3 linked regions of the Nothobranchius furzeri genome follow. The protein of the gene in region 3 purifies or fractionates together with the protein of the main gene of each other region. This does not show direct contact. Links are inferred from orthologs where the notes say so. Each region holds a gene or a part of one and is shown on either strand. Other genes may lie near its edges.

Region 1 (2,782 bases), on a different chromosome or scaffold from region 3:
GGACCAGTACAGGTAGCAGACAGGAGACGTTTTTTTCAACATGGATTTTTCAAGTTGGACCTGTGGATCGAGGAGCATCCAAGACTGAACAGACTTGAGACAATCTGCTGGTGTGGAGTGTTTGTGTGTGACCCTGATGCAGCTGCACGGTTACAGCTTCCTAATGCACAAACTCAGCCTATTCGGGATGGGCAGGACAGCACACTGGGAGACTGTGGATGGCTGGTATTTACTTGGGAGACGGGCAGATGTTTTAGAAATCTGGGTGATTTCAACTAATGACCAGAAAAACTACCAGTAGTATCATACCCTGGAAAAGTCACAGTACTGGACGTCATAAACGATCTTCCTACAAAAAGAAAAAAAAAACTTATCCCACCCACGAATAAAAGTAGGGAGGGACATCAAAAGCAGAGGAAAGTTCCCCCAACCAAATTGCATCCTGGCTGTATGACAAATTATCAAAAGAGGTACCACTTCTACTTTAGGCCCACATGAAAGATTTAATTCCTGATTAACTTTGTTCCTGTGAACCTCATTGCAATTACTCTTTTCTACTTTTTCCACAATTACAACTGAAGTTTGTTCAAAAATACATCAATCTCACTTTGCTCTTTTTTAAAGACTTTATTTGCAAAGTTCCATAATGATCATTTTCACTTCTTCTTCTCCACGTCCTGCTCAGCTGCCTCTTTGGCTCGCTTAGCACGAATGCCAAAAAGACGGGCATTGGCCCGGGCCATACGCAGACTGGCGAATGCCTTGAAGTTCTTCTCATCCTCGGAGATAACACGGGCCTTCTCTTTCTTGTGTACCTGAAAACAAAGAAAAGAACTCATTAGACAGAAATAAGCTTCAACTCTGATTAACAAGCCTTGTTTTTTTAACAGTCATCAGAAAAAAGGGTTCACATTTTTCATCAACATAGTGCAGAGATTCCGGAGATGTGTCATCATCTGACTGCTGTGGTACCAAAGATTCATGCACACATAATGAATGCATGAAATTTAAAGTATGAAATCAACATATTTAATGTAAATTTTACAGAAACTTAAAGATCATGAACTTACAGTTTTGATGGGCATGATGGGACCAGAGAGCTGGGTGGCCATCTTCAGTTCCTCCTCCTGAAACAAGATCAGGAAATTTTTTTTAAGAGATAAATAAAACACCCTAGTAAAAAAAGTTCATCAGAACATATGGCCAACATCTGCACTTGTGTAAATCACACAGATGAGCATACAGACTGATCTAAAACCACACTGATAACTATATCAGATGGCTATTTGTGCTCATTGGTTTACATAAAGGATGATGAACATTTTTACATCCATCTCACGCAATTAAAACAGAGGGGCCATGATGTGAATTACCTTTCCAGCTGCTATATTGTGCATTTTCCAACAAGTCCATGTGTGAAGAGGTAAAAGCCAAACTTACTGAGCTGTCACCCTTCTTGGGTGCAGATGCCTTTCTGGGGAACAGGATGAGTTTGGAGCGGTACTCCTTCAGACGCTGCACATTAGCCTGAAGAGACTCTGTGGATCTGTTGCGACGACGAGAGTCAACAGAGATGCCAATAGTGCGGGCTGTCTTCTTGTGGATTCCGGCCGCCTGCAGGACAGAGCAGACCTTGTTGAGAACAAGGACAACTCAAACCGCAACCATATAAAAATAAGGTTCAACGTTCCTAACAAATATATAGCCTCGGGAGATGACTGCAGCAATGTAAAACACTGATAACCTAATGGGTCCAGATACTAACACACAGTCTGGAATTATATTGGACAGACCAGAAAGGAACAGCATTTATATGAACACCGACACTAAAGCTGGTGTTGACTAGAGGTGTGAATCTTCACTTGTCTCCCGATTTGATTATGATTATTGGGTCAACGATTCAATTCGATATCCCGATGCATCACGATTATTTCATATTGATTTGTTTTCATCGATAAATAGAAGATGTCAGATAATTGCTTTTTTTTTATTTTTATCAAAAACGTAATTGACACAACTTGCCATTCCTCAAAATCTCTCCATCCACAACAGGTTAGGACAAAACATTTTAAACATTTAAGAAGATTTAATAAAGTAAAACAATCTGTTTCCTCGTTCAACACCACGCATCAGGCTGAGAAAAACACGCTTTGCAAAAACTCACAAAATCTAAAAAAGGTACTGAAAACCTACAGGACACATAATGTAATAATAAAATACATAATGGGTCCATATATGAATGTTTAATGTCTCTGAGCAGCTCTAGAGTCAAATATGTATGCCACAGTTGAAGGCTGTCAGAAATAACACCAAATGAAATGTTTGACTTAGTTTATTATTTTATTTGAACCCAGTGGTTCGTTTCTGAAATGTTGGAGAATGAATCAAGTTCTGTTTGATGCAGAAAACAATAAAACATAAAACTAATTCTACACTTCCAATAATATTTAAGATGTGTGTTTTATTCTTTCTGATAACACCAGCAGAAGGCTGTGGCCTGGATTAGGATTAAATTACCCAGCTGATGGATCTCCTTCACTAACCAGCTAACTACAAACCTTTCCACTAACCTGTCCTGTGGGACCCTCACCATGTAACCTTCATGTCCATGCTGTCTCTGGAGGAGCAGATAGGAGACAGACCTCCTGTAACTTAAAATGAACCAAAGCTTCCTCCCAGTTTCTCTTTAAGCTGAATTCAACATCAGTTTATCATCATGAAACAAAAGAATAAAGTTGAACAAGAACTTCTATCTTCTATTTCTCTCTCCTTTTAACTTCTC
Region 2 (3,629 bases), on a different chromosome or scaffold from region 3:
GGCTACAGAACAATTTGTACATGTTTACTCAGCGTTTCTAAAAGACATAGATCTGTCTCCCATGAGCCCCGGTGGTAACTGAGCTCTGTGTCTGCAGATGTCTGGAGACATGGCCACAGACCACGTTAACGGGAACACAGAGGAGCCCACGGACACATCAGCAGTGGCCCACACGGAACATTTCCCGGCCTTGTTGGAAGCTGGTTTAGCTCAGAAGGTAGCGGAGAAGCTAGATGAGCTGTTTGCAGAAGGTACGGTCTGCAGTTACCTGACAACAGTGTTTCCTACCTGTATGGTGGTGTTGGTTGGTGTGAGAGCAGAACATCATTAAGTGCATCTAATAATAGTTACTGCATTTCCTGCCACAGGTCTGGTGGCTCACAGTGACCTGGATGAACGAGCCCTCGAAGCTTTAAAGGAGTTTAATGAAGATGGAGCTCTGCAGGTGCTGGTCCAGTTTAAGGAGAGTGATCTGTCACACGTACAGGTAAGCATCCTCACCTGGAGGCTTTCACACTGACTTTTTTCATTTGAAAAGGAATTGTTGTTTTCCAGAACAAAAGTGCCTTTCTTTGTGGGGTGATGAAGACCTACAGGCAGAGAGAGAAACAAGGGACTAAAGTCTCACCTTCCACCAAAGGACCAGACGAGGCAAAGATAAAAGAGCTGCTAGAAAGAACCAGCTACACCCTGGACGTAACGACAGGCCAGAGGAAGTACGGAGGACCTCCACCCGAGTCTGTGTTCTCCGGTCCCCAGCCAACCATCGGGACTGAGGTGAGATGTCTGCGGGTCTGAAGATCAAACCTGAGAGGGAAAAATCATTTATGTTTCAGCTTATGAAGGTCAAACACACAGCCAGTAAATGCTATCACCAATGAAACACGGACAGCCTAACGGACACGGTTGGACTCCCACCCCCAGATATTTGTTGGAAAGATTCCTCGTGACCTGTTTGAAGATGAGCTGGTTCCTCTCTTTGAGAAGGCGGGGCCTATCTGGGACCTCAGGTTAATGATGGACCCCCTGAGCAGCCTGAACAGGGGCTACGCCTTCATCACCTTCTGTGCTAAAGAAGGAGCCCAGGAGGCTGTGAAGCTGGTCAGTTAAACAGAAGTAGCCCAGGTGTTGAAGGTAAACTCATCATCTCTAAGCTCTGTGTTGTGTTGTGTAGTGTAACAACTACGAGATCCGCCCTGGGAAGCACATCGGCGTTTGCATCTCTGTTGCCAACAACAGGCTGTTTGTTGGCTCCATCCCCAAGAACAAAAACAAGGAGCAGATCGTGGAAGAGTTCTCTAAAGTCACAGGTAGGCGCTGCCGTAGAAACGCATCTGACCACAAGCCCTCTGTGATCGCTGTTTTCTGTCTGAGCAGAAGGTGTCAGTGATGTCATACTGTACCATCAACCCGATGACAAGAAGAAGAACCGAGGTTTCTGCTTCCTGGAGTACGAAGACCACAAAACCGCTGCTCAGGCCCGCCGCCGACTAATGAGCGGTAAGGTCAAGGTCTGGGGCAACCTGGTGACGGTCGAGTGGGCGGATCCCATCGAGGACCCCGACCCAGATGTCATGGCCAAGGTGAGCCGAGACTTACCGAGCCCGAAGAGGCTCGAGGGGAAGTCAGGAACTAATAACGTATATTTCAGTTAAAGTAGCGCGGCGGGACAGGCGGCCCGAAGCTGAGCTGCTGCTGCTTCCTGTTGCAGGTGAAGGTCTTATTTGTCAGGAATCTCGCCAACGGCGTTACGGAGGAGCTCCTGGAGACGACCTTCAGCCAGTTTGGAAATTTAGAGCGAGTGAAGAAACTAAAAGACTACGCCTTTATTCACTTTGCAGAGCGGGACGGAGCAGCAAAGGTACGGCAGAACTCCAACACCGTACAGCCGCTTCAGACGGCGTCCTAAACCCGGTTTGTGTTCGTCAGGCCCTTCAAGACCTGAACGGGAAGGAGCTGGAAGGGGAGCCCATCGAGATTGTTTTTGCCAAACCGCCAGATCTGAAAAGACAAGAGCGTAAAGCCCAGAGACAAGCCGCTAGGACACAGATGTAAGTCCCTCCCCTTAAGTGGCAGGATGACATCATCACTATTTACCCACAGTGAGCCTAAAGAAACAAACAGCTTTATAATAGTGGTTTACCTGGAGAATCAGAGCTTTGATGTGTGTTTTTTTTCTATCCACCAGGTTTAATGACTATTACCACTTCCCCCCTCCTGCCCACGTATCTCCTTCCAGCAGGGGGCGGGGCCGAGGGGCCAATCGCGGCGGCTACTCCTACGCTCCTGACTACTACAGTTACGAGGACTACTATGACTACTACAGCTACGACTATCACAACTATCGCAGCGGCTACGATGACCCGTACTATGGCTACGATGACTACCAGGGCAGAGGGCGGAGCGGCAGCCGAGGCCTCCGGGGCGGAGCCTCGCCAGCTAGAGGACGTGGCGGCGTGGGGCCGCCCAGGGGCAGGGCCAACTTCTCCCAGCGCGGTGGGCCAGGACCAGGCCGAGGCGGGCGCAGAGCACGAGGAGGCATGCAGCCGAGAGGGCGAGGAGGGGTACGTGGTGCTCGGGGTGGTCGCGGTGGAAATGTAGGAGGAAAGCGCAAAGCTGACGGGTACAACCAGCCCGATTCCAAACGGCGCCAGACCAATAATCAGAACTGGGGCTCGCAACCCATTGTTCAGCAGCCGCTCCATGGTGGCGATCATTCTGGTAACTATGGTTACAAATCTGACAACCAGGAGTTTTATCAGGATTCTTTTGGGCAACAGTGGAAGTAGAGCCGACGGGCTTCGATTAAATAAGCTCTTTGTTTTTGTCTTTTTAGAGACTTGATCTGATTGGCCCTCAGTCCTCACAGTTGCCTGCATTTTTTTCTGTTTTCCTCCAAATTGGTAACATGAGCAGATCTTTATTTGAATAATACACTTGGACTCCCAACATAGCCACACTCCCACGTGTTACTCCTGCCTGGTTTGTACGATTTTCACAGCAAACTTTTAAACCCTTTTTTTAGACGACCAATGTGCTGGAGCGGCATTCTGGCTCCGGCTCTGTGTTTTTAGACATTCTGGTTTCCATGTTTCAGTAGCTAACAGCAACAACGCTAATGTCTCCTGCACATGTGTTTAAACCAATGAACTTACGATTTGTATTGTCTAAGTACTGCGTGTGTTGTCCTGGAGCAGAAAGGAAACGGGGCCGCGGCGCTCCTGGTTCTGGCTTCACATTTTGGCTTGTACTCTGCTGTTTGTCTGCATTAATAAACATACACGCACACGTGTACAAAACTTCAAATTGTGTTTCAAATTCATGTTTCGGCAAATTCTCTTTTCAAATTTCCTTCAAATTTAAGGCTCCTTGTGGAAGGAAAAGGACCAAAGGTTTGCCAAAGTTGGCCACGTGCTACAGTGTCACCATGCATGAGTCACCTACTCCTGAGTCGGCATCTCCAGTGCTCTGTATGTGTAGAGTGGCATACTCCATCCATCCAAAAACATTAACGTCTGACAAATTGGTGTCGTAAATTCAGCGTGAAGGCAGCATCAAGAGTAAGCCCCGCCCACGTTCCTTACCGACCCATGGGAGAAAAAGCACAATTTGAGTCCCAAAGTGAAGCT
Region 3 (4,083 bases):
CGAACTGTCGAAGCTCGCTGGTCTTGCCCATCCAGATCTACATTCACATAGTTATGCATGACAAACTGATACCAGATGACTAACATTTAGCTAATTTTCATGCATTAACTTTCTCAGAGGCTGTGTTGAAAACATGAAGCAAACTATAAATTAGGTAAATTCCTTTTCCTCATTTGTCAGAGTAAATCTTGTGTTTAAACAGGTATGATGGGCGCTGGTGCAAATGGGATGGCAGGAAGTCCTGGACAAGGAAATTTTATGCAACAGGTGTTTTTTTTGTTTTTTTTTTTGTTAATACAGAGCAGTTGAAACCATGTTGTAAATAAAAGCTAGACTGACTGAAATGAACAGTGCGGGTTTACCACAATTGCTTTATTTTATTTTAGCCTGGGGTGTTTAGTCCAGGACAGCACGCTCCTCCACCATATCCCGGACAGGGCCAGCCATCTCATCTGCAGCCCACCACTCCCATGTTTGTTGGACCACCACCAAAGACCCAGAGGGTGCTCCACTCAGAAGCCTACCTGAAGTACATTGAGGGCTTAAATTCAGAATCAAGCACTGTCAGCAAGTGGGACCAAATGCTAAAAGGTGATGCTTTTCCCCTCACTCCCAAATCAGTTTGCTTCTCTGTGCGTTGATGCAAATTCAACATTTTTGTTGTTGTTGTTTACTGATAACTTTTATCCATAACAGCTCAAAGACGAGATGCTCACTTTACCAAAGAGCAGGAGAGTCGCCTTCCAGCACACTGGTTGAAGAGCAAAGGAGCTCACACAACAATGGTGGATGCGTTGTGGCGTTTACGGGACTTGATGCTGAGAGACTCACTGAATATTTGTCAGGCTTACAACCTGTAACCTCCCAAACAGAACCACTAACCTCAGTAACTACTCTTATCCTCAGTTTGTGGAGTTTTCAAATGGTAGAAAGCAATATTTTATAGTGGGTCACAACCATTTTATATTTATTAGCTAAAAAAGTGAACTTGATAGTGATTTGTGTGCATTTTTATACCGTCTTAAATCATAGTTCTGCTAAAACCTGTGATTTTATTTTATTGTCTTATTGATGCAACCAGAATAAAAAGCTGCAAACCTCATGTTTGTTTCATTTTTTATGTAGCTTCTTGCCTTTTTGGATTTTATTTTTGAAGTACTTCCGGTTTGATGACGCCATTTCCGTGAGACGATCAAGACCGTGCCATTCTCTTTAGTGTTTGCCGTGTCCTCCCAATGTTCGCCTCCTTGCCTCCCGCATTTTGAATACAAATTAACAGACACTGACTCTTGAAGCTGAACGTAAAACCAAACAAACCCCATTAAGCCATATTTTATTATGGATTAACAAAAAAAAAACGAAGAAAAGTAGCGAAGAGGTGAGGCTTGCTTTGTGCACTGTCGGCTTTAGCTAGCTGCTAAGCTAATTTGTCAACACCGGCTGCTTTCTGGTTCGTTGGCCAAATAACCTGAAACATGTCCTTGACCAGACTAAAAAAATATTGTAAGACTTTACTGATGTTTAGTTGTAAGCTAAGTGTTTTTGGTAAGTTTTTTACCTAACGATTCTAAAAGTGATATCAGGTTGCTACACCGGTGCCTTTGCGGTGAGCTGACCGGTTTGCTAACATGCTCCTTCGGAGTAGCCTTTATTAACTCCTCGCGGCCTTATTTAGAAATGGATCATGTTCTGACAATAATGTATGTATATATGTTTTAAATATTTGTAAAGACAAGAGTTATGGGCTGTATAATGCATTGACATGTTTTTTGCAAGTGTTTTTGGTCCATTCTCTGCATCGGCTAACCTGCCAGTAATCTTGTTTTTAACATAAATGTAGCATTAAGATAACCTTTTAGCAACAAAAAGCATGCTATTAAGTTCCGCAGTTTGTTGCGTGCGACCGGTGGTCCATGGGAAATGAGAGGTGGTTCAGTTAGAGGCTTTAGAGGCTCATCCTTTCCAGCCAAACTGATGTGATGGAGAAACGTGAATATCAGAACAAGCAGACGCTGCTGAAATCTGATTTTCAATCTTTGTCCTTTGTTTTGCAATGGATCAAGATCCAATCATGAAAAATAACAAAACGGATGAAAAATGTTTACAGTTCATCACCCAGGCAGGATGGGTGTCAAGTTAAAGCATGAAAAACATGCCATCAGTGCAATAATCCAGTATTACTGAATAACATGTTTGCTGCTGCGTAAAGGCTTTTTGCACATTATTTAGTCCGGTAAAGATTAAATTTAATGTATGTATTTTTATATCTGCCTTTTCTTATATCATGTTTATTTTATTGTTTGCGCCACTTGAGTGCCACCCAGTTTCAAGTATTCACATGCAATGCCACTAAAACCTTCTGATTTCTAAACAGGGGGTCTCCCTCCTGAAGCTAGGGAGGAGCCCCTTGAGCTCTGGTTCTTGGCCTGGGCTTTGGGTCTGATTGTGGCCTGGCTCATGCACCATGGTCAGATACTGGGGGTGCTGCCGTCCCTTCTGGAGCCAAGAAGGAGACCCATGAGCTCTGGTTCTCAGCTTGGGCTGTAGGTCTGAGTATGGCCCGGCTCATGCAACATGGTTGGAGTTAAACAAATATTATATCACAATGACAAAGGAACATTTTTGACATAACATTTATAAGTTATCTTTGAAGAGGTTCTTTAAATGAATAAACAGTTTATTTAAAAAAATTAAACAGCCATGGGCACCAAGTAAACATTTGGTGTATCTCATTGTCATGTGTCAGCCTCAACGTATCTCTTCAGTAAGTGAAAAGAAATAAATGATAAAGAAAAATGTGGACACCTGCTAGAAAGAGTGCTACTTTTGCAATATATGCATTTTTAATTACATAAATTGATGTACTGTTGAGAGATTTGCAATAACTACAGGCACTGATTTAATGATATTAATGGTCAAATTAGCTACATTTAATCCAGTGGCGGTTTTTAGAACCAACATAAATATATAAACCTCACAATGAAGCTAATAACTGCAATAAATTGCAATCATCTCTCTTGTAACAAAACCATGCTAATTTTCTAACCAAGAATCGTTTGAAAATGCAAATTATTTGGTAAAATACATTTGTTATAATATCATATTTCTTTCTCAGACTCTTCTCCAGGCCAAGCTTTTATCCTGACCTCTTCAGTCCTCGGTCACTCCCACACTGTAAATCACTAATCTTGACTTCAACCTTCAACAATACAAGAGCAATGAGGATGTCTCAGCTTCAGTTTCAGTGTCCTGTTAGTTCCATGCCTGCTGCTTCTGCCCCCCTTCAGCTGGGACAGCCGCAGCCTGGCTACAGCATCCCCTGTGCTACGGGCGCCCTACCATCGGAGAGTGCCAGTCAGCCCATCAGGAGCTCCGCCCTCCCTGCGGGCTCTGCCACTCCTTATAATACCACCACAGGTACTTTCTTTTTGAAATAGTTTGGGTTTCTTTCCTTCACCATCTAGATCTGGGTTGACTCCAGAAGCTGTGGCTGTCTGCATCTTTCTTTAATGGTGTTTATTATTTTGTTTCAGTAAACATGGCAAACCCTAAAGAGAAGACCCCCATGTGCTTGGTGAATGAGTTAGCTCGTTTCAACAAGCTCCAACCTGAATATAAGCTGCTTTCTGAGCAAGGGCCAGCACACTCCAAGGTACAGCGGGTGTGAAGTCTCACACGTCCAACCCGTTGTCCTGTCGGGTTTACAGTAATGATAGAAGGTCTGTTTCAGATTTTCTCAGTGAGGTTGACGCTGGGAGATCAACACTGGGAGGCGGAGGGGACCAGTATCAAGAAAGCCCAGCATTCCGCTGCTGCTTCTGCTCTTACTGAGACAACTCTTCCCAAACCCACCATGAGGATGCCGCGTAACACAGGCAGGAACCCACATGGGCTTCTCCCGCTGGTTCTGTTTTCTCATTATAATTAACATTTTACGATCGGAGAGTTGATGTGTTACATTTTGTATTTTCTTGTGTCCCCTGCAGCTGATGGCATCACACACACCATGGAGCTGAATGCACTTTGCATAAAGCTCGGTAAAAAACCCATCTATAAACCCATCGACCCGTATCCCGGGATGAG

What was found. Proteins that work in one complex are often made in the same cells at the same time.
Region 1: the proteins of stau1 (region 3) and rpl13 purify together in Homo sapiens (affinity purification with mass spectrometry; 3 studies listed by BioGRID and IntAct, with this or other methods). This does not show direct contact. The link is inferred for Nothobranchius furzeri from reciprocal best matches to the Homo sapiens genes STAU1 and RPL13.
Region 2: the proteins of stau1 (region 3) and heterogeneous nuclear ribonucleoprotein Q-like purify together in Homo sapiens (affinity purification with mass spectrometry; 3 studies listed by BioGRID, with this or other methods). This does not show direct contact. The link is inferred for Nothobranchius furzeri from reciprocal best matches to the Homo sapiens genes STAU1 and SYNCRIP.

What each region holds. Positions count from the first base shown.
Region 1 is NC_091749.1:58,214,348-58,217,129, reverse strand, and holds the end of rpl13 (large ribosomal subunit protein eL13), read right to left. Parts: intron 1,615-2,782; coding exon 1,441-1,614; intron 1,128-1,440; coding exon 1,071-1,127; intron 956-1,070; exon of another isoform or gene 868-955; intron 816-867; coding exon 657-815; 3' UTR 608-656; downstream 1-607. UniProt on the Homo sapiens protein: Component of the ribosome, a large ribonucleoprotein complex responsible for the synthesis of proteins in the cell.
Region 2 is NC_091742.1:17,028,166-17,031,794, reverse strand, and holds the end of heterogeneous nuclear ribonucleoprotein Q-like, read left to right. Parts: intron 1-97; coding exon 98-251; intron 252-368; coding exon 369-487; intron 488-555; coding exon 556-777; intron 778-924; coding exon 925-1,101; intron 1,102-1,174; coding exon 1,175-1,310; intron 1,311-1,377; coding exon 1,378-1,583; intron 1,584-1,711; coding exon 1,712-1,861; intron 1,862-1,929; coding exon 1,930-2,051; intron 2,052-2,188; coding exon 2,189-2,789; 3' UTR 2,790-2,836; coding exon of another isoform or gene 2,837-2,844; 3' UTR 2,845-3,022; downstream 3,023-3,629. UniProt on the Homo sapiens protein: Heterogenous nuclear ribonucleoprotein (hnRNP) implicated in mRNA processing mechanisms. Component of the CRD-mediated complex that promotes MYC mRNA stability.
Region 3 is NC_091743.1:66,055,642-66,059,724, reverse strand, and holds the start of stau1 (double-stranded RNA-binding protein Staufen homolog 1), read left to right. Parts: upstream 1-1,187; 5' UTR 1,188-1,378; intron 1,379-3,115; 5' UTR 3,116-3,218; coding exon 3,219-3,417; intron 3,418-3,533; coding exon 3,534-3,652; intron 3,653-3,730; coding exon 3,731-3,875; intron 3,876-3,986; coding exon 3,987-4,083. Other genes in the region: pbrm1l (polybromo 1, like), read left to right, coding at 203-267, 387-591, 697-860. UniProt on the Homo sapiens protein: Binds double-stranded RNA (regardless of the sequence) and tubulin.